4 linked regions of the Lepisosteus oculatus genome follow. The protein of the gene in region 4 interacts with the protein of the main gene of each other region in a biochemical or structural test. Links are inferred from orthologs where the notes say so. Each region holds a gene or a part of one and is shown on either strand. Other genes may lie near its edges.

What was found.
Region 1: the proteins of receptor tyrosine-protein kinase erbB-3 (region 4) and pro-neuregulin-2, membrane-bound isoform form a complex in vitro, tested with the Homo sapiens proteins (2 studies listed by BioGRID). The link is inferred for Lepisosteus oculatus from reciprocal best matches to the Homo sapiens genes ERBB3 and NRG2.
Region 2: the proteins of receptor tyrosine-protein kinase erbB-3 (region 4) and crk form a complex in vitro, tested with the Homo sapiens proteins (2 studies listed by BioGRID and IntAct, with this or other methods). The link is inferred for Lepisosteus oculatus from reciprocal best matches to the Homo sapiens genes ERBB3 and CRK.
Region 3: the proteins of receptor tyrosine-protein kinase erbB-3 (region 4) and nrg1 form a complex in vitro, tested with the Homo sapiens proteins (8 studies listed by BioGRID and IntAct, with this or other methods). The link is inferred for Lepisosteus oculatus from reciprocal best matches to the Homo sapiens genes ERBB3 and NRG1.

The regions. Positions count from the first base shown.
Region 1 is NC_090706.1:42,064,425-42,072,219, reverse strand, and holds the start of pro-neuregulin-2, membrane-bound isoform, read left to right. Parts: upstream 1-4,788; 5' UTR 4,789-5,580; coding exon 5,581-5,989; intron 5,990-7,795. UniProt on the Homo sapiens protein: Direct ligand for ERBB3 and ERBB4 tyrosine kinase receptors. Concomitantly recruits ERBB1 and ERBB2 coreceptors, resulting in ligand-stimulated tyrosine phosphorylation and activation of the ERBB receptors.
Region 2 is NC_090721.1:11,081,633-11,089,570, reverse strand, and holds the start of crk (adapter molecule crk), read right to left. Parts: upstream 3,016-7,938; 5' UTR 2,713-3,015; coding exon 2,490-2,712; intron 1-2,489. UniProt on the Homo sapiens protein: Involved in cell branching and adhesion mediated by BCAR1-CRK-RAPGEF1 signaling and activation of RAP1.
Region 3 is NC_090698.1:27,192,618-27,200,507, reverse strand, and holds the start of nrg1 (pro-neuregulin-1, membrane-bound isoform), read left to right. Parts: upstream 1-4,883; 5' UTR 4,884-5,216; coding exon 5,217-5,814; intron 5,815-6,910; exon of another isoform or gene 6,911-7,038; intron 7,039-7,158; exon of another isoform or gene 7,159-7,231; intron 7,232-7,890. UniProt on the Homo sapiens protein: Direct ligand for ERBB3 and ERBB4 tyrosine kinase receptors. Concomitantly recruits ERBB1 and ERBB2 coreceptors, resulting in ligand-stimulated tyrosine phosphorylation and activation of the ERBB receptors.
Region 4 is NC_090696.1:14,628,480-14,636,105, forward strand, and holds the start of receptor tyrosine-protein kinase erbB-3, read left to right. Parts: upstream 1-4,625; 5' UTR 4,626-4,633; coding exon 4,634-4,715; intron 4,716-7,626. UniProt on the Homo sapiens protein: Tyrosine-protein kinase that plays an essential role as cell surface receptor for neuregulins.

The sequences.
Region 1 (7,795 bases), on a different chromosome or scaffold from region 4:
ATGCCAAACATTCCAACATACTTTTACACATCAACACCACCTAAATCCAATTTGTTGTCACATTGGTCACATTACTTCAGCCCAAGTCCTGAAAAATGTTGAATTAATTAATTTTTATTAAGCTTTAATAATATGAGGAAAATAAGGATAACTGCCTTAAGTGTCTCCCTCCATCACGTCCCAGAATACAGAAAACTATGAATGAGTAAAATAGAATGAGCACATACATAGAACAGCTGTATAAATTACCAGTATCTCCAGAAATGGTTTGAAATTTTGTTTGACCAGTACAAGCAACATGATGATGAATTTATAATACCACTTAAGGAATATGCATAAGCAAGGTGCACTGTCAGACTGTGATAAGTCATGACTCTTGGCACCAGTCACATTACTTCAGCCCCTGTGCCAAAAAAAATCTTAATGAATTCATATTAATCAAAAGAAAAAAGTGGGTATCTGGTCCAAGTGTCCACTGCCAATGCCCTTTCACCACACCCCAGATTACAGAAAACTATTTATGAGTTAAATAGAATACATAACAGCCGTAAATGCTGCTTAAAAATATGCATAAGCAAGGAGCATTTTCAGGCTGCAATAAGTAACAATTCAAAAAAAGAGAAGAGGTGTAAAAAGATCAGTCGACAAAAACATAAACTTTAAGCTTTGCAGGTTCCAAGGAATTCATACAAGATAAAATGTCAGCCATTGAATTGCTTTCCATTCACTTACCTCATAGTACTGAGAATACTTTTTAATGTTTGATTAAAGATGAACTTTATTTCATTATACTATTAAACAGTAGGGCACTATGATCATTTTAGTTGACTTTTACCATTTCTTTAACTTAACAAACGGTATTTTATTGTTCCTAAAGCTGTGGGTGTGGACTACCGTGACACACCTGAACCTTTACTGAGTTGGTCATCAGCCCTGGGGGACTCTCAGTCTGCTAAGGTTATAGATCAAGACGACTAAACCAGAGGCATCAGTGTGACAGGGCTCAACCTTTGTTCTGTGATATGTGTTGACCATTAAAGGCAGCCGCTTATCTAGAAACACAGATTTTCTGCTACAGTACCATTAGTAAACATTTTCGCCCAGATATAGCAAATGTCAGCAAATCAAAATTATGATTAAGCAAATCAAAATTATCATGAGACTGCTGGTTGAAGGTCTTCCCTCATACATCAAGGACACCAACCATGCGCTCCAACTTTTTAATGATTTTCAATTTCAGGGACCCGAATGCTACATTTTGTACCATGGACATCACATCTCTTTACACCATCATTCCCCATAACGATGGTCTTACAGCCCTCAAGCACACGCTGGACAAACGCACAGCACTTGATCCACCCACCCACACCCCGGTACGTCTTGCAGAATTGGTTCTCACACTGAATGCATTCTCATTCAATAAATGTCACGATCGTTACTCCTCCTCTTAAGGGCACTCCAGCCCTTCCTCGTTCTGTCCCATTCCCCACACCTGTTCCTTATTCCAGCCCCTCTTTAGTTCCACTTTTAAAGCCAGATGCAGGCGACTGCTCGGGGCTTCACATTAATTTCCGCATCGTGAGAGCCCGGGGTCCTGCTGCATCTGGCTCCGTTATGGTTTTAGTTTCCTGTTCCTGATTCCCTGTCCCGCCGGTCCCGACCCAGTTCTGGTTTTTAATTACTTTGGATGGATCCCCTGGTCTTGGACTCTGCTCCCATTTTGGATTTCCCTTTTGGATTTATGCTTGGATTGTTCGCCCCGGACTCACTTCCCCTGGACACCTGCTCACCTCGGACATGCCCCCCTGTCTCCTGACCCACTCCTGCATGATATTTTTCCCTATTGTTTCTTCACCTTCCGGATCGTGTCGTCCGCATAGGGCCCGGAAAGAACTGTTCCTGACAATAACCTTTTTTACCAACAGGTAAGTGGAGTTGCCATAGGCACCAGAATGGGACCCAGCTATGCTATATTTTTGTTGGCTGGGTAGAAGAACGCTTCTTCGCTTCCTACACTGGCTATGTCCCTGATCTCTACAAGTGATACATTGATGACTGCGACAGTGCCGCCACATGCTCTAACAACCAGCTTGAGCGCTTTTTGCATCATTTCACCAACTTCCACCTGTCCCTGAAATATACAGTTAACATATCTACACTACTCTTCCATTTCTAGACATCAACTTCTCCATCAACTACCCCCGACTCTCCACTTCAGTCTATTACAAACCCACAGATTCACACAGCTATCTCCTGTATAAGTTCAGATGGGTAGCTGCGTCAGTATGCGTAGGTTGCAAAGGAACAAGTAATAGGTTTATTCCAGGTTGTTCCTTTATCTCCTGTATAGCTCATTTCACCCCAAACACACTAAAAATTCTCTCCCTTTTTCAAAGTTCCTTTGGCTACGACGATTATGCAGCGATGACATTGACTTCCAGAACAAAGCCCTCAAAATGTACTCAAACAACTCAATCAGGAACTCCATCCATAATAATCGCATTTGTATGGTGCTTCCCTAGAACTCCAACACACTTCCTATCCTCAGGACTATTAATGACAACTTTTACATCCTACAGGATGATCCCTCCATTGGGGCCCTCTTTTCTGACCGCCCCATCATTTGATATCGCCGAGCACCTAATCTGCGCAACCTTCTTGTTCACAGCTCCCTTAACCGCCCTCAGCAACCATCCACACCAGGCACATTCCTGTGCAACAGAGCTCGCTGTATCACTTGCAAGTACACATCTAACACCACACTCATTAAAAGGCCCCTCAGGACAATTCTGGATCACCCAGATGACATCTTGTACCTCCAGCAACCTTATTTACTGTATATCTTGCAATAAATGCCCAGCCATCTACATTGGAGAAACAGGAAGGAGACTCGGAGACCACTTCAGAGAACATGTCACGGTTGTGAAGATTAAAGATCTCTCCAAGCCCATTGTCTCTCATTTCACCTCTGACGGCCATGACCACTCTAATCTTTCCGTCTGTGTTCTCAAAGACAGTCTTCCGAACTCATACATCAGAAAGACTTCAAAAACCAAAACTGCAGCTAGGATCACATCTTCCCCCTTCAATTAATGACAGACTACTTTTCTTCTAAATTCTCTCTATTCTATCCTGACTTCACACCTCTTGATTGGCCTCTCTTTCTGTCCCCTGCTCCCGCCCCTCGCTCCTCCTCTCTCCCAGCTTTTGTTCTCCTGCTACATCACCTTTGCTTACTGCCCTGTCTTTCTCACACCTGAAGAAGGTTCCATGGCTGAAACATTGTGTTTTCCTTCTTCTTTTTTCAGCATGGAATAAACCTATTACTTGTTCCAAATCAAAATGATGCCTGTCTGTGGGAGACTGACACTGGGACTGGGAGGGTGTGAAGTGTACGCGAGTCACTGAGGTTCCAAGGAAGGAGGACAACCACAATGTATTGAGGAATGTATCCTTAAAGAATTCATAATAAATGCACATATTTAGTTGTGTTACTGTTAAAGACTTTATTATTATGCACTTCACTACACACTCTGGGCTTTCACGGTGCTCTGGGAGTTCTACATAATTTATGAATCATACATTTTAAAATATTTGGCCATCCATCTTCCAATGGAGGATTCAACATCAAATACATTTTTTTTTCCATATACAACGTTCCTCTCCTTTGGAACTTCTGGAGCTTAAATCATGAAGTGGTTTTGCAATTGTTCAGCTGGTTCGAGCTCTGCAATTCTGTTCCGTGCACTGAAAAAGCCACATGAAGTAAAATGAAAAAGGAAAAAGAAATAGTGGAGCAAACAAGCTCAAGTTTTGATTTGACTGTAAATTTATCATATGATGTAGAACAAAAAATAAAAAAGAGATATGAATAAACAAATATAAGAAACATACAGACATACCCCCCCCCCAAAAAAAAAAGAAAATCAAGAAAGTGGACGATTTATAGAAAACAATAAAACGTTCAAGTACTGCTGAAACAGTATTTATTGAATGTGATGCCTTACACCTTTTGAGCCTACAATACTTTTTAAGGAACCGTTCAGTAATTCTTTTAATTTAGTACGTTGGACATATAGAAAGGGTTAATTTTTCCGAACTGCGTTACCTGTGTAAGAGCTTGTCGAGGAATGAGATGGAGAGGTTTGCCGAGACCGAGGCCCTTTGAAGCCGTGCTCACCTGCAGGGGTGAGCCGTTTGAAACAGCAGGTGTCGCTCTGCGTAAAGCATTGCGCGACTGACGGTTCCTCAGTTTTCCACATTGAACCGTTCGGACAGTAATGATATTAAAAAAACAAAAACACTGCTCAAAATATCTACCTTATGAATACGACTTTTATGTTGACGTACAGTATGAGTTGAAATTCTAAAATATGTTTTCACAATACATCATTACATATATAAGATATATAATATACCTTTTAGAGAAATATACAGAAACGAACGTGTCTATAAAATACGAAAATAACAATTTCATGAGCCATAGCCTTATCTCGATCACCTTTTCAGTTATTAAACCTCGTGTGAAGCCCCACATAGTTCTTTTCAGTATTATGGAGGTAATGCAGCACTGACGTCCTGCTGTCTATTTAGCAGAAGCTGAGCAGTGGATGTGACCTGAATGCAATTTATGATATAATAATGGAATGAGCCGCAAAACACATTGAAAACAGACTTTCAGAAACGAAGCCACAGAAATGTTTCATCTGCATTTTCTCAGCCGGTCCAGCACTGCTGTGCAGTACATGTGCGATTTTTTTTTATTGCGGATACTCAGTATTGTTTTGTCTTGTAAGACTGTGCCGTAAGGATTATGCTTCTGGTGAAATTTTGTACGCCTTTATTTTTGCCATGATAAGTCACGCTTGGGTTTTTAAATAAAGTAATAGTTATATTGCATTTCCACGGTGTAATTCCGATTAAATAATCTATTGTGTTTTAGGTTCAAGCAGAAGAAACTGTGCAGGCAGGTGTTGCCTGACACGTCAGGCGCGTTCTTGAGGGGAACAAATACAGAAGGTATTTTATTTTACAACGGCGAAACAAAATAGCCTACCTTAGGTAATTTCTTTTCTGGGGAAAAAACATGCAGGTAGGTATCCGTTCAACAAGCAGATATCTAAAGGACAGCCTTTATCGCAGCCTTTCTTTACAGTGAAGGTGGGAGACGTGTTTAAATACCCGACCCAAAAGCTTGCTAGCACGATTGAATTCTCTGGGCAAAGGGAACCCGGCGGTTGTCCGCCAAAGCTATTGCACTGTGAGCGGCTGTCTCAATAAATCGCAAATAAATGGAAACCCTGGGTTTCAGAATTACTTTCTAGCAGAATGCAGTGACAGGGATTTTAATCCAGTATCATTACGCCGTTTCCGGTTCCTAGCTGGTGTTTCCCCATTGCAAACTCTTGAAAAAGCAGCATATCCAAATGGCATGGACACTTACGCAAGGTCTGCTGCTCAGCCGTGCTACTGGAGCCTATTTGCAGTCTCCTACTTCAACTCAACTCCATCATCATCACCCAACAGCAACGAGAGCACTGCAGCAGCCCGAGCAGCGACCACAGAGCCAAAGCAGACGGCATGAGGCTTGATTCAGTACATTTCTCCATGCTGGTCATCGGGGTCTCCTTCGCCTGCTACTCCCCGAGTTTGAATTCTTTGCAGGACCAGGCTTACAAATCAGCAGTGGTCATTGAAGGCAAGGTGCAGTCGGTACCTGTTAATGTCTCCAAGGAGCCCTACAGTGTGAATGTCAAAGTACTGGACGTGTGGCCCCTCAACAGTGGGGGTCTAGAGAGGGATCAGCTTGTGACCATCGGGGAATTTGGATCGGAGGCTCCGTGCACCAAAGTGAAAAAGAACCACAAATACATCTTTTTCATGGACCCAACCGACGAGCCGTTAGTATTCAAGGCATCGTTCGCTCCCTTAGACACCAGCGGGAAGAATCTAAAAAAAGATGTTGGGAGGATCTTGTGTGAAGACTGCGGTAAGTTTATTCTTCTCTGTAGTGAAAGCTCCCCGTGTTTCTGTTTGCTGTATTGATATTGCCCGTGGACACGTTGAATTGCGTTTAATAGCCTATTGAAGGCTTCCGTGTGGTTAAACCACTGCACTGGTTTTCCTAATAAGGTTAAATTATTAGTTAAACTGTAAGTAACAGATGGGTGTTTGTGGGGCGTCTCTGCAGTGTTGATATAATTAGAAATGTTAACATCTTTGGGTTTATGTAACATTACATATCTATTATATAGATAGATGAAGGGTAATTCTAAACACGTGTGTTATCACAATTATTTAATCTATGATTAAGGAGAAATTGAGAATTGTAGCTGCAAGTTTTAGGATAAATATTTTAGCAATTGTCTTTTGTAGCATTTTCCTTGCAACAGAAAACGTGCACTCAAGGGCTGTTTGTGCGGAAAAAATGGTTAATATATTTTGGGTGATGCAGTATGCTGTAGCAGCTCCCATTGAACGGAGCAGGCTATGCAGTTACATCTTTGAAGACCTTTCCAATATTTGCAGGGCAATGTGTTTGTGATCCCCTCGCTGTGTCTTCTGTGTTTCTGCACGCTAGAGGCTGATGATTTTGTTTCGGTAATTTTGCATAATCTTTTTTTTTAATTACCTAAAATCGTCTTAACTATGAGAGTTGATACTATGCTGCTATAGTAGGTACTATTGTAAACGAAGTTGCAGCAGCTATTTTCCTAATATTGTACTGCTATGCGTATCGTAAACGAAGACGCAGCAAGACTGTTGTATTAAAATGATAAAGTAGTGTGGAAGATTTGTGGTTAATGTACTTGTTGGAGAATGTACTGATGAACTCTGTGCCTTTCGTTGATCCTGACGTTACCCATACCTAGAATAAGGCTGTCATATCAGTGGTTAAACTTAATTTGGGGTATCTGTAATAACAACAGAGTCACAGTGTCATATTTGCTGTCTTGCGTTGCTGACGAATAAAATGATGTTGACTTATTCCCGATAATAGGGATTTATGCAAATATAAGCATTGTTAGACCGTTGATGTGGTGATAGAAAGTACTATACGACTATTTGATCTGGATTAAAAAAAAAAACATGCCTGCATTCCAGTGCCTACAGTGTTGAAAACGTAACGTTTGCTGCATAGTTAAGCCTTACCGTTTAATATTAATCATGGTGAAGGTAGCACACATTTCATGCTAAAAGGTTCATGTTACCAACTCTAGATTTGTGTAATCGTTTGTTATGAAGGGGGAGCGGTTGGGGGATCCTGGCCGCTGCAGTTGAAAAACAATTCGCTGGTACATCACTTCAGACATTAGCAGTTAATATGAAGAAATATAGGTTGCTGAGATTTTAATTACCATGACCGAAAACCATAATTTTATTGTGTTCCCCCCGATTCTAACAGCTTTTATCAGGTTGAACAGTTTTCCACTGCAGCGTTTTACCATTCCTAATGAATTCAATACGCATCATCTGAAACATGTTTGCCTTTGCAATTATCAATAATACAAACATACATTTAATCAAATGTACTCTCCCATCAATTGAGACTTATTGAAACAGTCATACTAAAGATAAAAGGTGAAGGCAGTCCTTTTAAGAAACACTGGCACTTTACTGGAAGATAGTACTTCACAAAGGATCAGAATAAGGAGTATTTCTCACAGTCGAAGATGTTTGTAGAAGCAAATACCAAAGACAAATTATACATACCAGTGTTAAATAACCTTCATGTCTGAACTGAAGAGATTGTACAAAATATTGACCATAACCTATGAAAACAGTTGTTTGGGTC
Region 2 (7,938 bases), on a different chromosome or scaffold from region 4:
ATGCCAAGGAGGGGAGGAAATCCGGGATTTAAATGGAAGGGATGAATCACCAGAGAACGAGGCAGCAGGAACGCTGCTCTGTCAGGAACACACAGCCTGCCGAGAGACCACTGACGCCCTGAGCCCCCGAGAGCCAAACGAGGGGACTCCCTGTGCGAAATAAGACACGCGGTCAAGCAAAGACAATGGGAGTATTTTTGCTCCTCCATTACCACTGGGATACCCAGCGAGGCCGGCTTACACCCAGGCACTTTAATCCATACACTCGCAGGGCTGAGTCCTGAGCCAGCCCGGATAACAGCGCAGGCCTCACACTGCTAACTTCTCCGATCCCCCATCCAACAGGACACGGCGCGGGCTCAGACGAGACAATTCTAGATGATCAAAGAGTTCTTTAGCCGTTTTCCCTACACAACCAGCGCGCTGTCAGCAGGGTGAGCGCACAGGGACGAGCCGACAGCCACCATCAGATATCAGGCGTCTGCAGTTCCTCAATGGGGAGGAAAAGCCGTCTATAAAGAACTGAGGGGGATGACAGAGACTGCTGGGCTTTTCTTCATTGCTGTAAGTCGGCAGTTAAGAGTCAGGCAGCTCTTCCACTTCACTGACTCGCTGGCCAGCCTCCCAGAGGCAGCACAGGCTGGACAGTCACTGGTGCCAGACCTGCAGCGCCAAGCAGCACTACAGCTGAAGAAAATGCCAAAATCTCTGATCAAGGATCAGTTTCACCAGTAAAAAAAGGGCACGGCTTGCATGCACACGTCCTGTTGGGAGTGCTGGGACAAGCATCGCCCCCTGCTGAATCCCGATGACAGCTTGCTCCCGTAAAACAGCCCCAACGCCCAGCGTCGCTGCACCCCAGCACTGGCAGAGACCCGCAGGATACAGCGCCCGCGCTCGCTGATCCCCGGGCAACGCGGGGGGCTGCAGGGCTCGTGTGCGTCCGCTCATCGGGCCCGGAGGAGGCGTGGCTCAGCCGGGCGGGGAGCGGTCCGCCACCCGGGCGCGCTGGCAGCCCCCACAAGCCGCCATCGCGGCCCCTCTCTCCTGGCACACACCTCCACCCCGTTCCCACTCCGCCTCCCGGATTGAGAAACTCCCCGGTTTAATGATTCATCCGAAGGCAAACACACAAAGCAGGCCCTGGAGAGACAGGGCGCTCCAGCCCAGGCACAATCAGCTCTCCTGATCCCAGCCAGCGAGAGCCCACCTTCCGCACTCGGGACTCTGCCCGGGCACATCGCTGGGCAGGACCGAGCAACTGAGCCTGGGGCTGGTTCTGCTGGCATCGGACGAACGATCACTCCGCTGTTTGCAAACTGCACTCGTCCTTCCTGGGTCATTAAGCCCGATTCTCCTGCATTGCACGAGCCACATTAACACCGCTGCGAAAGCACCAGTTTTTAAAGAGAGATATTTCTGCAATGCTGGAAAAAACAGCTTCACTTTTGCCCCATGAGAACATCAGCTCCTCTCTGCCCCATGTCAGGCAATTTCAGCCAGGCTCACTGTGAAGGAGCCCATGTGCAGCCGGGCTGCAGCGCTCAAGACTTTCCACTGACCCCACAGGGACCCAGCCAGCAGCTCCCAGAGACAATGTCTTCGCTAGTCGGACTTCTGCTCCACCAGCACCCATCATCATACCACCTTACAAAGTCAAGCGCCACCAAACACGGGCTCAGCCTTGGCTCACCTTAACTTCAGGAGGATCTCACTGCAAACACAAGTTTGGATACGTCTCTTCACAAAACTGAACGACTTCTGTTACCAGGTTTCGCTTTCCCATCCAGACGCACCCATCAGCATAAAGTGTTTGATGTGAAACGACGGCAATGCAGTAACCCTCCAGATCAACAAACATTAAGCAGCGGCGTACTAAGACGCCGGTATTCTGGGAGACCCGGTGAAGCCACGTTCAGGTCCTTCAACGGGGATGAAGAGAAAACGGTTATGCTGAGACTTGTCAATACGAGTCAGCGCACACACGACCAGTCCGATCCGGGTGCAACCCTTAACGCGACGGGTGCGATTCCGCAGGGCGCGACGCCAGCGCACAGGACCCTCGACCTTCGGGGGCTCCCCAAGGTGAGCGGCCCTGGGGGGTCTCCCCAAAGAAGAGGGCTTTAGAGGAATCGACGCTCGGGGTTCCCTCCTCCCGCGCCCCGCGGACGGTGACGCCGCTGAGCCCGGGCGCCATGTGCGGGGTTTCACGCCCAGCTCCCCGGTGCCCCACCGGGCTCCTGTCACGCCGGGGGTACAACGCGTGTAGGGGGTAGAAACAAGGCCTCGCGTCAGTACACGGTTTCATCTTCATGTCCATAAGGCACCCAAGACGCCTCTAACGCGACTCCGGGACTGGAGAGCATCTCCTCACACGGTCACCGGGACCCGCGGGAATCGCGCATCCTCACCCCGGCTCCACCTGCGGCCAGCCCCCGCCCCCGCCCGAGAGGGGCACCGGGACCGAGCCCCCTGCCCTGCCCGCTTACCTGTGCCCGACTGTCTGTTGTTGCAGCTGATGCTGTTGATGATATAGTGGGAGACTTTTGAATTCTCCGAGACGGACAGCACGTAGTCCCCAGGGCTGGTGATCGAGTCCCTCACCAGGAACACGCCGTGCCTCTGCCCCTGCAGCAGGGACACCGCCTCCTGCCGGCTCAGCCTCCCCCAGTACCAGCTCACCCGGTCCTCGGAGTCAAAATTCCCGGCCATGGCTGCCACTACTACACCGCGGCTATCTCGGGGCCTACCCTTCACCTCTCCTTGTCCGCAAGCAGGAGCCAACTCATACAAAAAACTTTAACTTGAGGCGAATCCGCTTCAGAAAATGCACGACATCCGCGCCGCGCTGCCCGGAAAAAAACACCAGATCCGAAGGGCCAGATCCTCCGCCGACACAAAAACGGGCAATTCGGCCAGTCTCGCCAAAGATTTACCCCAAAGTTTTCCGATTCAAATCTCAGAAGTTCTCCCAAGAAACTCCAGGAAAAAAAAAACTGAAATGGCGGATCTGGGATAAAAATTGACCTTACTCACCGGATATGAGGTCAGCGGTTAGTCACGGGAACAACGGACGCGGAGGACACGCCCGACCATGATGATGAGGTCAAGACTCGCTCGACTCATTCATCCCACTCGCTAAACAAAACATGAAACAGAAAAACCCTTTGACCCTTTCTTTGAACTCTTTCTTTTACCCTACTAAACATTTTCAGCTATCATAATTATTTATATTTTTTCATGTTTGAAGTTCGTCCAATTTTCCAGAAAAAAGACCCCGTTTTGAATTTTAGTTTTAATGACTGAAGTTCTACATCACTCCCCCAATCCAACAAGAAAGTGTTGCCTTCTCTCCTTAGAAAGCGGAGTGTCGTTACCTCTGCCGTTATCTCTGAGTCACAGTTTAATCCTAGGAGGGGAGAAGATTCCAGTCATCCAGCCTCGGTACAGCCTGCAACCCTGTCCCAGTCGTGATTAATGCTTAGAAACGGAGAAGTTGCCCGCAGAGCGAGATTCTGTTCTTGATGTGTCATTGTAGTGACAAACAGTAGATTAATAACAACAGGAGTGCAATCTCTATAGAGATGTTGTAGTGCAGCAACTGAAATACACAAAGCGTTTCATTATAAAATTGGGATAAATTCCCAGTATTACAGGAAATAACGCAGAATTAATTTAAATTCAATACAGGTACACTTGAACACTTTTAAAACGCTTGTAAAATATGGGTACTTGTATTAAGATTGTAGCCATAATATCCATTACTCGACAGTCACACAGTTGAATCTTAAATACTAAACCGGAGGAGATTTATAATGCCCGTTTGTGTTCTGCGTGAACTTTTCCACACTTGTAGCTGCTGTGTGTCTAATTTTGGTTGGAGTTCGTCTGAGAGCTGTACAAGGTGACTCATGTCTGACGCACGAGAAAAATCCGTCCGATCCCACCGCGATCTACGCTGCTACAGCTGTGGGGTCTCAGTTACAGTCTTACTGGGAGAGTTTCTCGTCTCTCGTCCCTCTCAAGATAAATCAATTCCTGGGGACTGGGATGAGGAAAGAGTCCACCACTTACCACACACTTTAACAAATTGTGGCTCCGTTTGTAGACAGTTTAATCTGAACAAGCCCCGCTGCCTTAGTTGTACTGCAGGAGCAATCACAGATCAGACTAATAATTAACAATTCCACGGGACAGACGTAATCGCCTTCCACATCGTCCGCGATCAGCTTCTTTAAGATATGTTTCCACACTGATCCAGGTCACAGTGTCCTCTTGGTCCCATTCCAGATGGGCTCTGAACTAATTTAACTGGACGAAGGGCCTTCAGAAATACTGCAACAGCAAACTACAACAAGCTGTGTTCATTATATTCTGTCATTTTGCGCCGCTGGAAGGATTAAGACTGGGCGATGAGCACTTTAGAGCCTGCAGTAACAATAACAAGAAAAATCGAGACATTGTACAGAACAAAGAAAGTACCTGTATGTGATCACCTGCTGTATTACGTAATGAGTCCTTTAATGGAGTAGAACAGGGATCGAATCTTACATCACTGCAGAACACGTATGATTTAGAGGGAGTTCAGGTGGGTAACTGCGTCAGCATGCGTAGGTTGCAAAGGAAAAAGTAAAAGGTTTATTCCATGCTGAAAAGAGAAGAAAAAAAAACACAACATTTTGGCTGTGGAGCCTTCTTTGGGTGTAAGCCAAAGAAGGCTTAAAGAAGGCTCCACAGCCGAAACGTTGTTTTTTTTCTTCTCTTTTCAGCATGGAATAAAGCTATTACCTGTTCCTGATTTAGAGGTAGTCAGATGAAAGATAAGATAAGATCACTTAATTGGCCATATACAATTTCTTGCATTAGGAATTTGTCTTTTCTCATACCCCAGCTTGCTCTCCATGAGACACACAGACAGGGAGAGAGAAGCTGGGGGTCAGAGCGCAGGGTCGGGGATTTATAAGGCGCCCCTGGACCAGCTGGGGTTAATGCCTGTTCTTACGAGCAGCATGAACACAAAATACATAAAATTCCCCCAGGCTTCTGTGCGTCTCGTTAAACCCCAGTAATTAGATTGCACCCCTAAATACAAGCATTGTGTGAGGTCCAAACTCCGTCCAAGGGTATGGGCTGTACAGAATCATATATTGTGAAATACTCTACTCCACACTGGAGGTGAACTCATTGTATTCAAGCACCTTCATTGTAAAATAACAACAACAACAATAATAATAATAATAATAATAATAATAATAATAATAATAATTGTTTACACTTATATAGCTCTTTTCTGGACAGTCCACTCAAAGCGCTTTACAGGTAATGGGGATCCCCTCCACCACCACCAGTGTGCAGCCCCACCTGGATGATGCGACGGCAGCCATAGTGCGCCAGAACGCTCCCCACACACCAGCTATCAGTGGGGAGGAGAGCAGAGTAATGTAGCCAACAAGATAGGAAAAGACGGATGATTTCTGATACATTTAAGTGTTGAACTACACAACTAACAGATGAACTGCATTCAATTGCTGTGTTTTGTTGGGAAAAATCGACAACATTAATTTTGAGCCAACTGCGTAATCACGCGAAATAAGGACTTGGGAACAAAGGAAACAACAACACGACCTCAAAAGCCAAATGACAACACGTGTAATGCAGACACAGTACCACCAGGTGGTACTCTCGAGCTACGGAAAGAGGACCCCACTGGCGCTGGGGACGTCATCACTTGCGTGAAGAAAATTCCATTTTTGTTGTGTAAAAAAAACAATAAGAAGTCGAACGAGGCACAGGGCAGACCAGGCGCCACTTTCTACATGTGTACTTAGAGACTACAAGGCCGTGAGATCATTTATAAAGGGATAATGGATTTGAGTCTTCATTATTACAAAGACAACAACTTGATGAATAATTGAATATGGTCTTTTCTGTGTGTCACAGCTTGGGAAAATCACAGCCTGTTACTGGCTAAGTATCACTGTATGACTGTATAACTGTACGCACTGCTTGCACATCACAGCAGCCGCCACACTGTACCATCACAACGGGCGGAGTGCTGGCTCTGTGGCTACACCTATGGCTGGAAGGTTGCTGGTTCAAATCCTGTGGCTGGCAGAGGAATCCTACTGTGTGGGGCCCCTGAGCAAGGCCCTTAACCCCAGCTGCTCTAGGGGTGCTGTATAATGGCTGACCCTGTGCTCTGACCCCAAGCTTCTCTCTCCCTGTTTGTGTGTCTCATGGAGAGCTAGCTGGGGTGTGTGAAAAGACAAATTCCTAATGCAAGAAATTGTATAGGGCTAATAAAGTGATCTGATCTGCTCACTGCAGATGTGGGGCTGTAGAATCTATTGCTCTCTGGTGCTCATCAGCCTGATAGCTGTGCTGCTGGCGATGCAGTGTGGAACAGCAGACTGTCCAGGGACTGGTCACGTGGTCCTTCTTACTGGGATGAGCAGGAATCACAGGGTGGGGCAGCCCCTGCCTCAGGAGCCCCCCCTCTGGGATGAAGTCATTTCCTTTTCTGCTCTCTGCTCCACCAGTAATCCCCGTGGCGGGGGGGCTGCTGGGACAAGAAGAGCAAAGTGACTCAAAAGGAGAGCTAGAACAGCCATGGACTGGCACCGTGCTGTATTGTCTGTGTCTGGTCCTGCAGTGTTGTCTGTGTCTGGCCCTGCAGTGTTGTCTGTTCCTATCCTTGCTGTATTGTCTGTGTCTGGCCCTGCAGTGTTGTCTGTTCCTATCCTTGCAGTGTTGTCTTAAGCCAGCAGCCAGATCACCCTTCAACTCTCAACTGGCAGCCCACTGAAGCTCAGCAGGTGTGAGCCTGGACAGAACCTGGGTGGGAGACCTCCTGGGAAAAAAAAGGTTGCTGCTGGAAGAGGTGTTAGTGGGGCCAGCAGGGGGCGCTCACCCTGTGGTCCATGGGGGTCCTAATGCCCCAGTATAGGGATGGGGACATTATACTGTAAACAGGCGCCGTCCTTCGGATGAGACGTAAAACCGAGGTCCTGACCCTCAGTGGTCATTAAAAATCCCAGGGTGTTTCTTGAAAAGAGTAGGGGTGTAACCCCGGCGTCCTGGCCAAATTTCCCATTGGCCCTTACCAATCATGGCCTCCTAATAATCCCCATCTATGAATAGATGCTCTCCTCCCCACTGAGAGCTGGTGTGTGGGGAGAGGACTGGTGCATCATCCAGGTGGGGCTGCACATTGGTGGTGGTGGAGGGGATCCCCATTACCTGTAAAGCGCTTTGAGTGGAGTGTCCAGAAAAGCGCTATATAAGTGTAAGCAATTATTATTATTGTCTGTGTCTGGCCCCGCAGTGTTGCCTGTTCCTATCCTTGCAGTGTTGTCTGTGCAGCACTGCACAGGTACAGCTGAAGGGAAGGGGATCTGTAGAGCTGTGTCTGCACCTGAGACACCTGGGTCTGGCTTTCTCAGTGCTCACCCTGATCTGAAAGGGTTTTCCTGCAGTTACTGTTTCAGTCTCTAGTAGATCTTTTCTTATGCACAGACTCCAGTTTGAAGTAATTTCATCACCAGGGTATGATTGAATAGGGTTTGCCCGAGCATCTACAACTTTAGTGAAAAAAACAGAACAGGTATCAAAACCTAAATTAAAGTATAATTTGCAAAAATTGCAGGCACATCTAGTTTTCTTTTTAGGAACTTGAGTGACAGCTCCAAGTCTTTATTATTGTATTTGCCTTGTCTTTCTATAGCCCTGATCCTCTGATCACAATGGATTGGTCCAGTCTGCTCCTGGCAGTGCTGTGTTCGTGGAGCAAATATCAGGAGCTGGTGCCTGCTCAGGTGTGTGCTCTGTGATTTGTCTCAGCTGGGGTGCCTTCATCAGCAATGGTCATGCTGATACATGAAGAAAGTACTGTATTCTTTTTCTTCCAGACTTACTCCTTCTTGAAAGGTTCTGTTGAAA
Region 3 (7,890 bases), on a different chromosome or scaffold from region 4:
GTTCAATTTACCATGCAAAACAGCACACCTTAGTAAAACAGGACTGAAGACATGATGAAGAAAACTGCTATGAAAAGTTTCTGATTGCTTCATCAACACTTCCCAAAGTGGTGAAAGGAAAATGAAAGGTTCACTCAGAAACACTTATACTGTACATTATGGTCTAGTCATGCGGTGTTTACATTACAGCTGACTGATAATTAAAAATGATAATCAAATCACAATCTTCTCATACTCTTGAGCGGTGACCTGTCTTGAATTTAAACTTCATAGCTACTGTATATAGAGGTCTTTACTCTCTAGTGGGGTTGGCACTCATACCCTGATTAAACCAATTTAATGAATCTAACCTACAAACCTATGTCCAGTTCAGTTATTCTTGAACACTTGTCTTCCTTTCACACTGTTCCATTTAATGACTTTTTTACCCACTGTCAGAGAACATGTTGCATCATACTGCTTTGAGATTTGGCAAACTAGTTTGACGTTATTAAAATCTCAACATGTAAATGACATTAGCGTGTTAGCAAAAGGATGAATTATTGTACAATGATATCACCCTCCAGAATTTGTCTATTGTTACCTGAACATCATCCTTACACAGCCGGTTTATATTATATTGTACAGCTATTCTGTAACGGTTTATTTTTACTTAACTATTAATTATCAACTTAAAATATATTGACAGAATTCTGAAGACTAAATTTAGAACACAGAGTTAGATTTTATTAAAATGTTCCCACTTATGTTTTCTATGACAAAAATAATATGATATGCCATATCATCTTACCCTTAACATAGAAATTTAACCTTATTTGCTAAATACTAAATAGAAAGTACACTTATCACATAGAAAACACATTTTCCTATCGGTGCCATTTGCAGCACATTATCCAATGCTGTTTACATCTGTTTATTTCACTCATTTTAATTTCAATAATATTTCAGTTCACTCAGAGTATCTGAACATGTATAGACACATGGTCATGTTAATTAAATATCTGCCATGCATATTACATTATATTACAAAAGAAGATAAATATATTTGTAGTTTGTGGCTTGCTTCAATTCCATCTGTTATGAAACACTGGATTAAAACTAGACTAATTTACAAATAAACCTCTTTTCTGTTCTATAAGACACTAAAACTTAATGCACAGACAAAAACACACCAAACATTAAACAACGCAATTTACCATCTTATTTATCATGCAGTAAATTGTATTGTTAGATAGAGTAACATTATTTTCAGTTCTATGATTGCCAAAGGGAAATGCTGTCATAATAATTTGAGGATGACTTTTTTGTTGTCTCTATGATATTGCATTTTGCACTTGATCAGAATATCAATTGCACACACAGATGAGAATCAAAGCGACTGAAAGAGTTTTTTTATTCTTTCGCTCAGAAGTTTTCAAATACAGTGACCACAGCTGTCATGAATGAGCTATCACAAGCAGATCACATTCTTGTGTTTCTCAGAACAATACAAATGCAGAGTAAAATGTGGTTAGCTGGAAGTGGCTGAGTCCAAACAATTCTATTAATGTCTAGTCTTGTATCAGAAAGAATGTCAGAGTGTATTTAGCAGTAAAGGTATTTATTACACGGGTGGAGAAATTCACACTCCCAATCTTTTTACTGCTGTCACCTGTAATGGACAGTGGAAAACCCAAAGCAGTTTTCTGTTATTAAATATGTTAAACAAACCTGGATTTTTTTCCCACCATAATTAAATTTTCATCCCTTTCTGGGACAATATAAAGCCTGCACATTTTGGGCACAATCTACAAGCAAGCTGTATAATGCTGAAATTCAGGAATTCAAAAAATCAGAATAACAGCATGCTCTCTCTATACATATCTGGATTTGTTTTTTAATATATTTTTCTTTATTTGAGGAAATCTTTAATATCCCAAAGGTGCCTGAATATGCTGATAACTGGGAGCTGTCCTATCCTATCTGTGACGCATTGAGGAACTGTTTGCTAATGATTATGCTAGAAATATACATTATGGGGGCTGCTGGTTGAGGTGGTGTCAACATCCATCTGTACCTCTGTGGATCACATTTCATTCACTGCTTTGACCATATTCTGACCATGCAACAATTCATGAATTTCAGGCATTCAGCAGGGCAGCTGGAGAGTTGGCTGGAGATGCTGAAGGCATACAACTTAGAAATTCAACATCAGACAAGAGAAGAATATCTGAATGTCTATTCCTTTCCCCAGATTCTACAAGCTTTTATTTTTAGGGTTAAAAATAAAATGGACCAGAAAATGGGCTATCTGGGTCAGCTGCAACATTACCACCATTGAATCTACCACCTCAAAGATGTAGAGGGCTTGAAGGAGTGACAAGCGAGCAGCATGCAAAGGGCAGTCCTGTTCTCCTCTTCAGCTGGTCCTAGTTGGTACCCTGGTGCAATAGGTCAGTGGTGATGATTACCCATCTTAGGGAGCATGCATTTCTTCTTGTGGCCAGGAACAGACATACTGTACCACATTGCACTGGGGCATCATTGAAAAGACTTTCCTCATGGGGAGCTGTTGTGTGGGCTTATTTTCTTAAGAGGAGCCAGGGCAGCAGCCGCAAGTTGGTTTCCACCTTCAGAACCATGCGTAGTACTGGGATCCTTGTGCTAAGGAGTCAACTGCGTACAAGCATCCCAGTTCGGCTGGGATACAAGCTCTACAAGCGGCACCTTGATCCACAGTTGGGTGACTGAGAACCTTAGTGAGAGAACAGCCATAGAGATCTTCCTCCTCCACTGAACATGGGACTTGTTCCCAGAGGACCCCCTGCCATTACTCACCCTTACTGGTTTCACTGCCAGTGACCCAGAGTTTCCAGCTGCAGGATCACCAAGGAAATATTCCCAGAAATTATCAATGAAATTCATGTAATCATTTTTATTATTGAAACTAAGAAGAGGAAGGTGGTTCCTACTTTAAACCAGGCTTTCGGCTTTCTAGGATGCACTTCTTGACAGAAGTGTGGAACAAGTTACCTGCAGTAGCGGTACTGTTGAAGACAATTCTGTCACGTCTTTTCAGAAATGACATGATCAATACCCTTGGATCAACCAGCTTTTATTAATCAAATGAGCTACAGTATTTGTAAACATTCTATTTGGGAATTAATGTTTTGCTTGAGAATCATTCTTACTCAATGAAAACAAAGAAACAAACAGCAGCCATATAACTCTGCAACTCACAACTGGCAACCCACTGAAGCTAAGCAGGTGTGAACCTGGTCGGTACCTGGATGGAGACTTCCTGGGAAAAACTAAGGTTGCTGCTGGAAGATGTGTTAGTGGGGCCAGCAGGGGGCAATCACCCAGAGGTTCATGTGGGTCCTAATGCCCCAGTATAGTGAGGGGGATGCTATACTGTAAACAGGCGCCGTCCTTCAGATGAGACATAAAACCTAGCTCCTTACTCTCTGTGATCATCAAAAATTCCAGGGAGTTTCTCGAAAAGAGTAGGGGTGTAACCCTGGCGTCCTGGCCAAAATTCTCATTGGCCCTTACCAATCATGGCCTCCTAATAATCCCCATCTATGAATTGGCTGCATTACTCTGCTCTCCTCCCCACTAATAGCTGATGTGTGGTGAGCGTTCTGGTACACTATGGGTGCCCTCGCATCATCCAGGTGGACACTCCACATTGATTGTGGTGGAGGGGAGTCCCCATTACCTGTAAAGCGCTTTGAGTGGAGTGTCCAGAAAAGCACTATATAAGGGTAAGCAATTATTAATCAGCATGTTTTTCAACAGTGTATATAGTATCTGGGCGGTATATCTTTGGCAGCTCCATATTTTGAGCCATTGTATGAAAGAAAACATGACAAATTGGGTCACATGGCATGGGAAAGTGATATACAAGTGAGTTTCAAATAGTCCCTTAGCTAGTATCCACCCCCTTCTAGTTACAGTATATCCCATTTTGATCACTTTCTATGTAATTCGATTGTATCCACACTTTTGAAAGAATATTTTAAATTAAAAACTTGAATGTTAAAACCATAAATTTGGGGGGGGGGGGGGGTGGTGAAAGAACTTTTAAGTATTCACCCCCTGAATCAATACTCGGTGGAAACGCCTTTGGCAGCAATACGTCTTACGACAAGCAAGGTACTGTTACTTATATGGCTATGCGACTGTATCAATGGCCCGTCTTCTATATAAATTCCCAGCTTGGTTGAGACAATTCGATCAATTATCTACTAAAACCCAAATAAGACAGAAAGGTAAAATGGCCTCCCCTTGTTTCTAAACATTTTTAAGATGTACTTGAAGTTTGTTGTTAGTATACATGTAAATACTGAGGAAAATTGTTATTATTAAAGAACGATTTCTAAATTAAGTTTCTTTCTTTTAGTGTAACTTTTGGAGCAGCTAATGAGTGGTTAACAAGTGTGGAAGTTGATATTCTTTATTGAATGGCAATATTTAAGATGAAAGAATTATATGTATTTATATTTATATAAAAAGGAATATATATAGAAAAAGCATATTTTTGTAGTCGCATAGTTGCATTAAAACAACAGATTCTTGGGGGATTTGAGTTTTACTTCAACTGATACTGTATGTTTATTGCCTTCCGATGATTTATACTAATGGCAGTCATTTTGTATTGAAGGGCTTGCTCTTTAAACAAGGAGCAAAATCACTGCCTATTAAACCCCATTAACACCTGCTATAAAGCTCAATCTGGATGGATGACGAATTCTGAAAGTACACGGCTAAAAGCCCCCAGAGTAAATTAACACTGGCGTTAAACTTCTTAGTGGTCCCGCTGGATCTGAAGCGTATTAATTTCGGTGAGCTTTAAATTAAAGTTGAATATATCCTATCGTTTTTAATACCGTCGAAAAACGTAAGAGACACATTTAGATTAAAACGCGTGCATCTCAAAGTCTATAATCTTGCTGTCGCTGACTATCGCCAGATAGGTCCGGAGACACGCAAACGAATGTATAATTAATCGTAGAGAAGAGGGAATCCTCACACACATGGCTTTAAAAGACTTTTCTATTCAGCAACTCCGCCTCCCTGGTCTCCGGCGGCAGCAACTGCGGCTTCAGCGGCAGCACACTTGTTTTAACCATTGAGCGCAGACTGCCCTCTTCGGAAAACCTGCATTTTTAATTTTCACCAGCTTTCACCTCATCCAGCCCCCCTCACTTGCACTTTTCATTCGCACATTCACAATGCGAACCCATCCTGCTGCACTGCACGGCCCATTCACAATTCCTTTTCTTTGCGGGATTTTTGTAATGTTCGCTTTCTCTCTGCATGGTGTTCCCTCAAGCAGCCTCGCTTGCTATTTCTCTCCCACTCCCACTGTGGACTCGGTGCAGGAGCTGGCGCACCGCTCAGGAGTGGTCGTTGAAGGGAAAGTACAGGAAGAGGGACTGGAGAACGACATTAATCGCGAGGAGAAAGAGCGTTTGCTTCGGGAACGAGCGAGGGCGAAAGGCAACGAAACCCAGGGGCAAGAAATGGAAGAAAACGGCGACGCGACGGAAGAGTTGTTATCCAACAGGACGACAGGCTTGGAGCCGTACCTGCTGAAGGTGAGGGTCCATCAGGTCTGGGCAGTGAAAGCCGGAGGTCTGGAGAAAGATTCCATTATATCCGTCATCTGGAATGTAGGAGAATACTGTCTCACGCTGAAGAAAGACAGCAGGTATATTTTCTTTATGGAGCCTACAAATGACACCTCTGTATTTAAAGCAGCTTTTCCACCCGTCGAGACCGGACGGAACGTGAAAAAAGATATCAACAAGGTTCTTTGTGGAGGATGGGGTAAGTGCTGAACTGCCTATTAGTTGATCCAACTTTTCCACTATGCGAACGGTAGACACGTGGAGCTCACAGATCAAGTAGTAGAAACAACATCCTTCTGCGTTCGACCTGGAGCGGTGTCTAAAACTTTTAAGAAGTTTTAATCCTTTATGTTCAGCAGTCTCAATAGACGTTGTTTTAATTGATTCAGATTGTCAGTTTGAAATCATTAAACCGCCAGAGTGCTGGACTCTAGAATAATATAGAAATGCGTTTGATAGGAGGAGTTGAAAGACTTATTTACACATTTCTTGCTCTGATAACGTGTACAGTCTGTGTGAAGACTGTTCAGGGATTTTATTGCATTGTTTTCGAACAATCCGGCTATCGATCTACAGCTGTGGAAGGATGATTTCAATTAGTTGCCTACTTCTTGATTAAAACAATTAATTACAAAGTAAGTTTGGCTTATACCTTAAAATGCCGTATCCAAATCAATACCACGATAGTGATAGTAATAGTAATCACAATAGTAATCGATTTGTGATTCTGTACTTTTGTGTTAGAAGGCACGATTAGAAAGCTTAGATATGAGTTGTAGTCTGTGACGCATGGCGGTCTATCATAGTTCTGTGGAGGATTTATGATGATGTTGGATAAAGTCGCTGTCGCCTGAAAAGCTTGCATTACTTTTTACTCACATTTTAGTCCTTCATTTTTATTTTTTGTATAAAATTAGTATATTTTTAATGAAGCACTGTACTTAATACCCGTATCTTATCTTGTTTTCTAACCCATGATTAGGGTTCAGCGCAAAATAAATTGTTGTATATACACCTTTAAGCGCAAGCGATTATTATGAGCAGGGTATTTGGAGGTCTGTTTGGAGCCTTCATGCGTATTTCTTGCTCTTTTCGAAACCTCTGAATTCTATTGCTACCATCTCAAATCTCTGACAACTAAAAGCTGAAGCCTTTTTAAGGAGTATAACATGTCTCTTTTTATCATCGAGAGGATTGCGGATAAAAATGTATTTTGCCTACGGTATGTATATGTAATTAATAAAATGTCCAACGTAAAGCATCTGAAAACTGTAAAAGCTAGGGCATTGTATTACCTGAACGCACTGTGTGAACGCTTCACATCCTGTTTGAGCGGTGAGGACTGAGGGAGCTCTCCACTTTCCGTGGTGCTGAAGACTTTGATTGACAGGGGATGCCCGTTTCGGTTGTTGATGGGTGTTTCCTGGGAAAAAGAGAAATCGTTGTTACAGAGTCCGTGTTATTAATTTATAATAGCCTGAAATCCTCATGCGATAGCTTGTAGCTATTAATAGCTAGCGCTACTGTACCAATCTTCCGATACCTTTATTGAGACTGGCTGTGGAAAAGTGTTCAAAAAATCACCGCGGTGAAACAAGACAAAAACACGAATGAATGCGGACATTAAACATGTAGTTAATGTTACGTAACTGGTCATGTGCAGTGCGTCATGTTTTATTTTTATATTGTAAGAGCTTAACATAGTGAAACTACAGAATAACTGAACTATAAATATACTAAATATAGATGTGAAGATTAAGATTAAAACGTTAACATGTTCTTTCGCTATCACAAAAACTTAAAATTATAACTGTTCATAAGGTATTTACAATGTTTTAAAATCCAAAATTGAATGTACAAAGGATATATTTTATTTAAACACTCATTTTAGTTCTGTTTAAATACTAATTCATTAAATCAAACAAGATTAATTCTGCACTTCAATTATAGTCTTATCTATCAAATTAGGTACCATTAGAGTGGATTAATTGTTCTAAAACGTTTCTAAAGGAGAGTTTTGTGATAACAGTATGATTTTGATGGGCGCACAAAAAGATGTGATAAAGCAATTTCAAGAGCAGTTTAACTCGGCATATCTGCAATTCACAGCTGATAGCAGGCTAACCTTCCAATAAACATGCAAATCTGATATCAAACCGAAGACAACTGTAGGTTAAAGAAAAGTCATTTCTTTTATTGTGTGTGGTGTTGCTTTGAGGAGTGTCGTATATTTTCTTTGTAAGGTTTTATGGTCACACCCATATACTGAAGGTGT
Region 4 (7,626 bases):
GCAAAGCAACCAGAAGAAAATAATCTCAAAACTATAATAACATTGAAGGTATGAAAAACGATTAAATTAATTATATTAAAATATAGTGGGGAAAAAGAAAATGATAAGACAGTTTCCGCAGAACAGTGGAAGAACAGATTTCAACTAAGCTCCACCAGTTTACAAGTTTGGAGAAATTGCTGTTGAAAACATTAGATTCGGTTTTTTAATAGTCTTAAAATTCCAGCAAAACAAAAAGGAAGCTATTCACGATGTTGGATGTTAAGTGGAGAACAAGTTGCAACTTATTCAAACACATTCTGGTCATTCATGAAAAAACAACAATATTGGAAATTCATATACTGTATTTTGTGCTTACTAATATAGTAAATCTACAAATACCCTTTGAATTATCTGTTATGTATTTTGGTACTTTTACTTCTGACTACATGGAATTAAAGGATGGATATATACTAGGAATTATTTTAGCTGCTAGTAAGAACACTATCACTAGAAAGTGGTTTATTAAAGAACTCCCAACAGTGCTGTGAAGGAGATAATTCTATAAGGGAAATATAATGGAAAAGATCATCTTTTCTTTTAGGTTAGAAGCAGAAAGGTTTGGCTAATACTGGCAGGCCTGGATTGGGCTGAGGTCCCATTGTGACTTGATTTTGTTCTGTGAAAGAAGATGAAACAGCGTTTTATTTTTGCTGATTATATGTACTGTAACCTCCCATCAATGCTGGCATAACGTTATATAAATTAATAGAAATAATATTACATAAGAATATAATTAATTCATTGATTGGTTAATTAATAGTTAATTAAGTAATTAGTTAATAAGTTTAATGAGTTATTATATAAAATGAACTTGCACTACTTTGTATTGTACATGTTGTATTTGTAAATTCTTTAATTGTTAAATAAAAAGTTTAACAAACAGTTGAAGGTCACGTGAAATAAGACAAGCACAGTGTATCAAGCTAGGTTAATCGACTACAGCGTTTCCAGTGCTAGTTATGTGCAGTACCTAATGGAGACCACAAGAGGGCATCCTTGATTAAACGTCTTCTCTGCGCTCGGAAATCGCCGGCAGGGTCGCTTGTAAGGTCTCTGAAAATTAGTCAGTTCTTCAGTAGGGGTAGCACCCCGAGCGAGTGAGCTGGCATCAGTCTTGAATGGTGTATTCTGTTCCCTGTTCTCCACCGTTTCTCTGCAGCTTCCATTGTGTGGGCCTTTGTGTGTGTTTGAGCGCTGACTTACTGAATCTGTTTTGTCTTTCCCTTATAATTATCTCGATCTGGCGAATTCGGTGATCTGAAAATTACAGCTTTGAGCAGGTAAATCAGTGCGGCCCATTCGGGGCCTGTTTTTCACGACGCTTCAATCATTACTACAGGCTGTCGGACCTGCCGGAATTTCGAGTTTTGAACCAGTTCTGCGGCTTAGAAACACGCGAAACAATGAGAGCAACACTCCCCGCTATGAAAAACATGAGTCCTGTTTGTGCGCCTCGGGAACAGCGAGGAGGGGCGTGTTGATGATCTCTGTTCCGCATTGTTTAGTCCGTCTGAGTCCAGATTCCTGTACATACAGAGTGAGACAGAGAGTGAGACAAAGTGAGTGCACAACTAGCAGAGAGAGACAGAGAGTGAGACAGAGTGAGTGTACAGCTAGCAGAGAGTGAGACAGAGTGAGTGCACGGCTAGCAGAGAGTGAGACAGGAGTGCATAGCTAGCAGACTGAGAGTGAGACAACGGAGTGCACAGCTAGCAGACAGAGAGTGAGACAGTGAGTGCACAGCTAGCAGGGAGTCCACAGCTAGCAGAGTGAGACAGGAGTGCACGGCTAGCAGAGAGTGAGACAGAGCAGTGCATAGCTAGCAGACTGTGAGACAAAGAAGTGCACAGCTAGCACACTGAGAGAGTGGGACAGAGAGTGAGTGAACAGCTAGCAGAGTGAGACAGAGTGAGTGCACAGCTAGCAGGGAGTCCACAGCTAGCAGAGTGAGACAGAGAGTGAGTGCACAGCTAGCAGGGTGTGACACAGAGTGAGAGTGCTCAGCTCACTGAATGTGAAACAGGTAGTATTCTGAGATTAGACAAATATTCTTCCCCACAAACAACAATCCTAATCCCTGAATTCCCACCCCTGCCAGAATCAGAACAGCTCCCAGTCCCACTGGAGGAGGAACAGAGAGCCTCTCCACAGTAACAGGAATGTTCTGTTGTGAGTGGCTGTGAATGTTTTGCTAGTTATTGCCTTCCCAGCATCCAACAGCAATGCAAGGGCCAGGCCCAGAACACCCTTGGAATTCGAATCCGAGTGCACACCTGAGCTGTGGCCTCACTCCATTGCCTGCAGTTTTCTTACAGGGTGGGTCTGACCCTTTTAAACACACAGACACTTTGAACAGCCTGTTCTGATAGGGCCTTGTTTGCTGAGCGTCTCTTTTGAGAAGGCTTTGACCACGAATCTGGGGTTTAGAGGGCTCTGACTGTGCAGCCCTGTAACTGGGCTCTTCACTATCTGTAGGCGTCTGTCTTCAACCTACAGGTCGTCGACATTTGGGCTAATTAAGCCAACAGCAGATTTATTTAAATATTTGAGTAGTTTGAAATAAAACCCGGAAGATTCCCTAACGCCCAGGACCCGTTAAAGACCCTAATATGCGCTTTACCGGGTTTCTAAGATGCGCCAGAAATTCCCCGGTTATAAAGGAGCTCCTTCCATCCAGAGACCTGTTGCCTTTTACACCCGACTTTTACCGAAATAGGGATTTTTCTCAACCCGGCCTGCAGGAAGGGAGGCGGATGAGAGCAGAGCCGAGTCTCCTCTCTCCCTGACGAGAGGCGCGTCCGGCTGCAGATCAGAGGCCCGGCGCGCCGAGACAATGCGGCCGTTGTTGCCGGACAATCTGTCCCCATCAAAGCCGGGGTGATTAAGTCGCGGCTAGCGGGAGAAAGGCACAATGGTTCTCTCACGGAGACCAGCGGCCCCTCCGAGTCGATATAAATATCCCCTCACATAAAAGCAGCACGACAGAAAGATGTCCCATTGGTGGAAACACGCAACTTCACTCAAAGTGCCCATCGCCCCCCGGAGGGTCCCTAAGCTCTGCCCTTTCGGAGCAGGCGCTACGGGCCCGGGTCTATTACCCTGAAAATAAGGGTATCACTGCGACCCGGTGTGTTTGAGCGGAGCGGCGTCTGGCTGGCGGGACCGGCGGGCGCAGAGACATCCCACTCTCGGCCACTGACCTGGTCGGAGAGGTCATTTTGCTCTTTTGCTGCCATCCTCACTAAAGCGCACCAGCGCCTTCACGTCCCGAAACAGTTCCGGGAGTGGGGGATGAGCAAGACTACCCTCACCAATTTCTACCCTAATACGGTTCAGAGTGTCCTGGCCGGTGGTATTGCGGTGTGGTACGGTGGAGCCACAGTACAGGACAGAAAAGCCATACAGAGGGCTGAGAGGTCCGCGCAGAAAATCCCTGGGACCGGATATATCTCGACCGCAGCCGGGCTCGAGCTATACTTCGGCACCCAGTTCACCCTGGCCACGGTCTGTTTTCACCCCTGGGTTCCGGTAGGAGGTATCGCAGTATCAGAACACTGACCAATATATTCAAAAAACAGTTTCCTCCCCCCCAAGCAGTCCGCATCTTAAACACCTCAAAGTAGCACCTGCACTTTAAGGTACTGCGCTGTTTGCGCTATGTCCTGCCTTGGCTGTATTATAACGTCTATTTTCTCAATGTATTGTCCGTGTTTGTCATTTCTGCCTATTGGTTTTTCCTCCACAGCTGAACGAGTAAGCGTTCCAATCCACTTGTTGTATCTGGCAAATACTAATCTTGAATCTTGAATCAAGGGAACCCGAGAGTGATGACTTTTGCCGTCATTTCCAAAAAAAAAACAACAACAAAAAGACACTTCATTTGATTACTCCCTGTGACATATATATATATATTTTAAATCGCCTACACCTTTGTTTTGTAGCCTCACAGCCCGACGGACCCTGCCCGCCGCCTCAGCCACGATTCGCAGCGCTCCCACGACGCTGGTGCCGATTGGCGGCTCGGGGCAGCGGCCCGTCCAATCAGCGCCCCGGCTGCGCTGTTTTATACTAAGGGAGTGGAGCGGGGGTGTCGCGCTTCACAACTTTCTGGATCAGCTTGTGGCGGATCGCCTCGGACCGCCGCGCCGAGGAGTCACCGGGAAGTCCGTCGTTACTATTACTGCCCGCACTCGGATCTGTTGTTGTTGTTGCTGCTGCTGCTGTTTCTCACCCCTGTCAGTCTGGGGTTACCAGGTGACACACGTGAGAGAACCTGCCTGCCGCCGTCAGTCTGGAACCGAAACCAGTTCAGGTGGATTGAGGGTTTTCCGCTGTTCTCTCAGGCTGCGAGGCAGGCACACCTGGAGACGGGCACATAGATACTACGGGGAACAAAGAATACACCAGGAAGCTAAAAGCGGATAACTCTTGGAATTCGGTCTGGGAACGCACTTTGCGAGCCTGGGATCTAGAAGGGACGGGAGAGGGGAAGAGGGAGTCGGGACACAGCGTCTGTTCCGGCTCGACATGCACCCCTGACCCGCCCGGCCCGGCCACTCCGCTGCAGTCCAGTCCAGTCCAGTCCGGGCGGATGGCGCTCTGCCGGCAGGTGCTCGCAGTGTGCCTGGCGCTGCTGTGGACCGGACAGCCCGCTCGCCCGCAGTCCCACGAAGGTAAGAGACCTGCCGTCCCGCACGTCCTCGTGCCCCCCCCCCCCGCTGCTCTGCGCTCCGCTCCGCGTGCCGGCTCTGTGATTTAGTAGCGCTGGAACCCACACTTCCTCGTGCGGTCCGCATCCACCTGCCGCCCCCTCCCGGGGGTGACCTGGCCCCCTCCCGCAAAGGGGAATGACTCGGGGGACAGAGCCAGGCGTCAAAATCTCTCTTCAGTGACACAACACTTGACCTTTCTAGCAAAAAAAGAAGGACGCGTGTTCCCCGGAGGTGGGTGCTCTGCCGTTCCCGTCGTGGCTGATAATGTTCCGGGAATGGCGACCGGTAAAGTCCGTGAGTCGTCAGCGGGCCCGGCTGGCTTGGTGTGTGCTCTGTGTTGTGCCGGGTGAGGCAGCCGGGCTGCGGGACAGGCTGACGAGGCGCTGCCGGGGGGTTCCCTTGAGCCCCGGGTTTGACAGTTCCCCGGGAGCTCCTGAGCCGTCACTGCCCGCCCCGCGTCCTCGGGGGGACCTCTGTCTGACTCGGTATGCGAGGAGGTCTGACAGCCGTGGCCTTTGTACACGTAAACCCACTGAGAGGTCACTGACACTGGGGTCACTGACAGAAGGGCTGACGGACGGAGGGACACCCCACTCTCAGACGATAGAGAACCGGGGGCCCGTGTGTCCACATGAACATGGGTCTCGGAGAACTCGTGACGGATCCTTCCACTCGCTCGGTAAACCTCTGGAGCTATCGTGTGTGAGAGCTGTCTGGATTTCAGCCCATCGGTGTGTCTGTGTGTTTATCAGTGTGTTACTGTGTGTGGTTCATCAGTATGTGTGTGTGTTTATCATTGTGTGTGTCTATCAGAGTGAGTGTGTGTATCAATGTGTGTGTCTGTAAGAGTGTTTATCTGTGTGTCTATCAGAGTGAGTGTGTGTATCAGTGTGTGTGTCTATCAGAGTGAGTGTGTGTATCAATGTGTGTGTCTATAAGAGTGTGTTTATCTGTGTGTCTATCAGAGTGAGTGTGTGTATCAGAGTGAGTGTGTCTATCAGAGTGAGTTTGTGTATCCGCGTGTGTGTCTATCAGAGTGAGTTTGTCTACCAGAGAGAGTGTCTACCAGAGAGAGTGTCTACCAGAGAGAGTGTCTATCAGAGAGAGTGTCTACCAGAGAGAGTGTCTATCAGTGTGTGTCTATCAGAGAGAGTGTCTATCAGTGTGTGTGTGTCTATCTATCAGAGAGAGTGTCTATCAGTGTGTGTGTGTATCAGTGAGTGTGTGTATCAGAGTGAGTGTGTGTGTCTATCAGAGTGAGTTTGTGTATCAGTGTGTGTGTCTATCAGTGAATGTGTCTATCAGAGAGAGTGTGTCTATCAGAGTGAGTGTGTATCAGTGAGTGTGTATCAGTGTGTCTATCTATCAGAGTGAGTGTGTGTATCAGTGTGTGTGTCTATCTATCAGAGTGAGTGTGTGTATCAGTGTGTGTGTCTATCAGAGTGAGTGTGTGTCTATCACTGTGTGTGTCTATCTATCAGAGTGAGTGTGTGTATCACTGTGTGTGTCTATCAGTGAGCGTGTGTATCACTGTGTGTGTCTATCTATCAGAGTGAGTGTGTGTATCACTGTGTGTGTCTATCTATCAGAGTGAGTGTGTGTATCAGTGTGTGTGCTCAGCAGTGACAGACCTGTTCCCTGGCTCAGCCTGTTTGCTCTGCTGCACCTGCAGGGCACATTCTTGCTGGCCTTCTCAGGCCTCCTGCCTGTGCTGAGGGGCCGATGGCCCAGCCAGTCCCCAGGCCCCTTCACTCTTCACAGCCTGCAGAGACGGAAGGTGTGTCTGGTTCCCGGCGAACTCGCAGGCAGTGTGGAGGGCAGACTATCTGGGGCCCTTCTGCGTGACTCAGCCTGGGTGGGGGCAGCAGCAGATTAATGAAGCCACAGCAATCGACTGTAGCCACTCCCTCAGCCTGGCCGAGTTTCCGGTCCGACAACTCCCAGCAACGGCCTCGCAGCGTCTGAGCAGCCCCCCCACGAGCCTGTGCGGGAGTCGGGGTTCAAGTCCTGTCCCTCACTGGGAATGTTGTCCGAACCACACCAAAATCTCCTGGCTGAGCTGCCACCGCGAGAGGCCTAGCCTCAGGAGAGGAGGTCACAGGTCAAACAGGGCCCCAGATATCAGTGACCACTGCAGACAGTGGTCAGTATGGGGGCGCCTCTCCCTCCTACTACCGAGAGAGGGGTGACGCTGGCTGCCCCGGGGCACTCTGGGAAGGTTCAGCAGGGCAGGTGTGGTGTTTGGATGTGTTAGGCTGTGCTAGGATGGCCAGTCCTAGCAGAGGTGGGTCCGAGACGGGGCGCGGAATCTGGGGTCCGACTGCCTACACGACACCTCCCTTGCTGAGCCTTCCCAGAGTGCCCTGGGGCAGGCAGCATCACCCCTCTCTCTCCAGCAGAAAGGAGAGACACCCCCATACTGACCACCGTCTGCCCTGGGAGAGACAGCCTGTGTTTTAGTCCGAGTAAGGATGGTGGCAACGCATTACGATTGCCGTGTGTGTGTTGACCCACATTCACACCTGCTCAGAGCATTATTGGGAAACAGGGACTGATGGTTTTCTATCCTTCTGCTTTTTAATAATGTAGTTTATGAATCTGTGTGTTGGAGGAATATGAACACTGAAACCTCGGCCTCTCTGCCTCTCGGGACCTTGTCCAGAGGGGTGCAGTGGGTACTCAGGGGTACTCTGGGAGTACCTTGGAGTGAGAGGCTGAGATTGTTCATGCCTGGCTCTTCATCTGGTGACAGGGCTGTTATTCCTGTCATAAAAATCTTATAGCCGCCTGCTGTAAAACTTTACTGCAGGGCTTATGTGCTGAAGTTCTGCTGGCTGCAGAATCCCCTCCTGCTGTACAGCAGAGCCAGTGT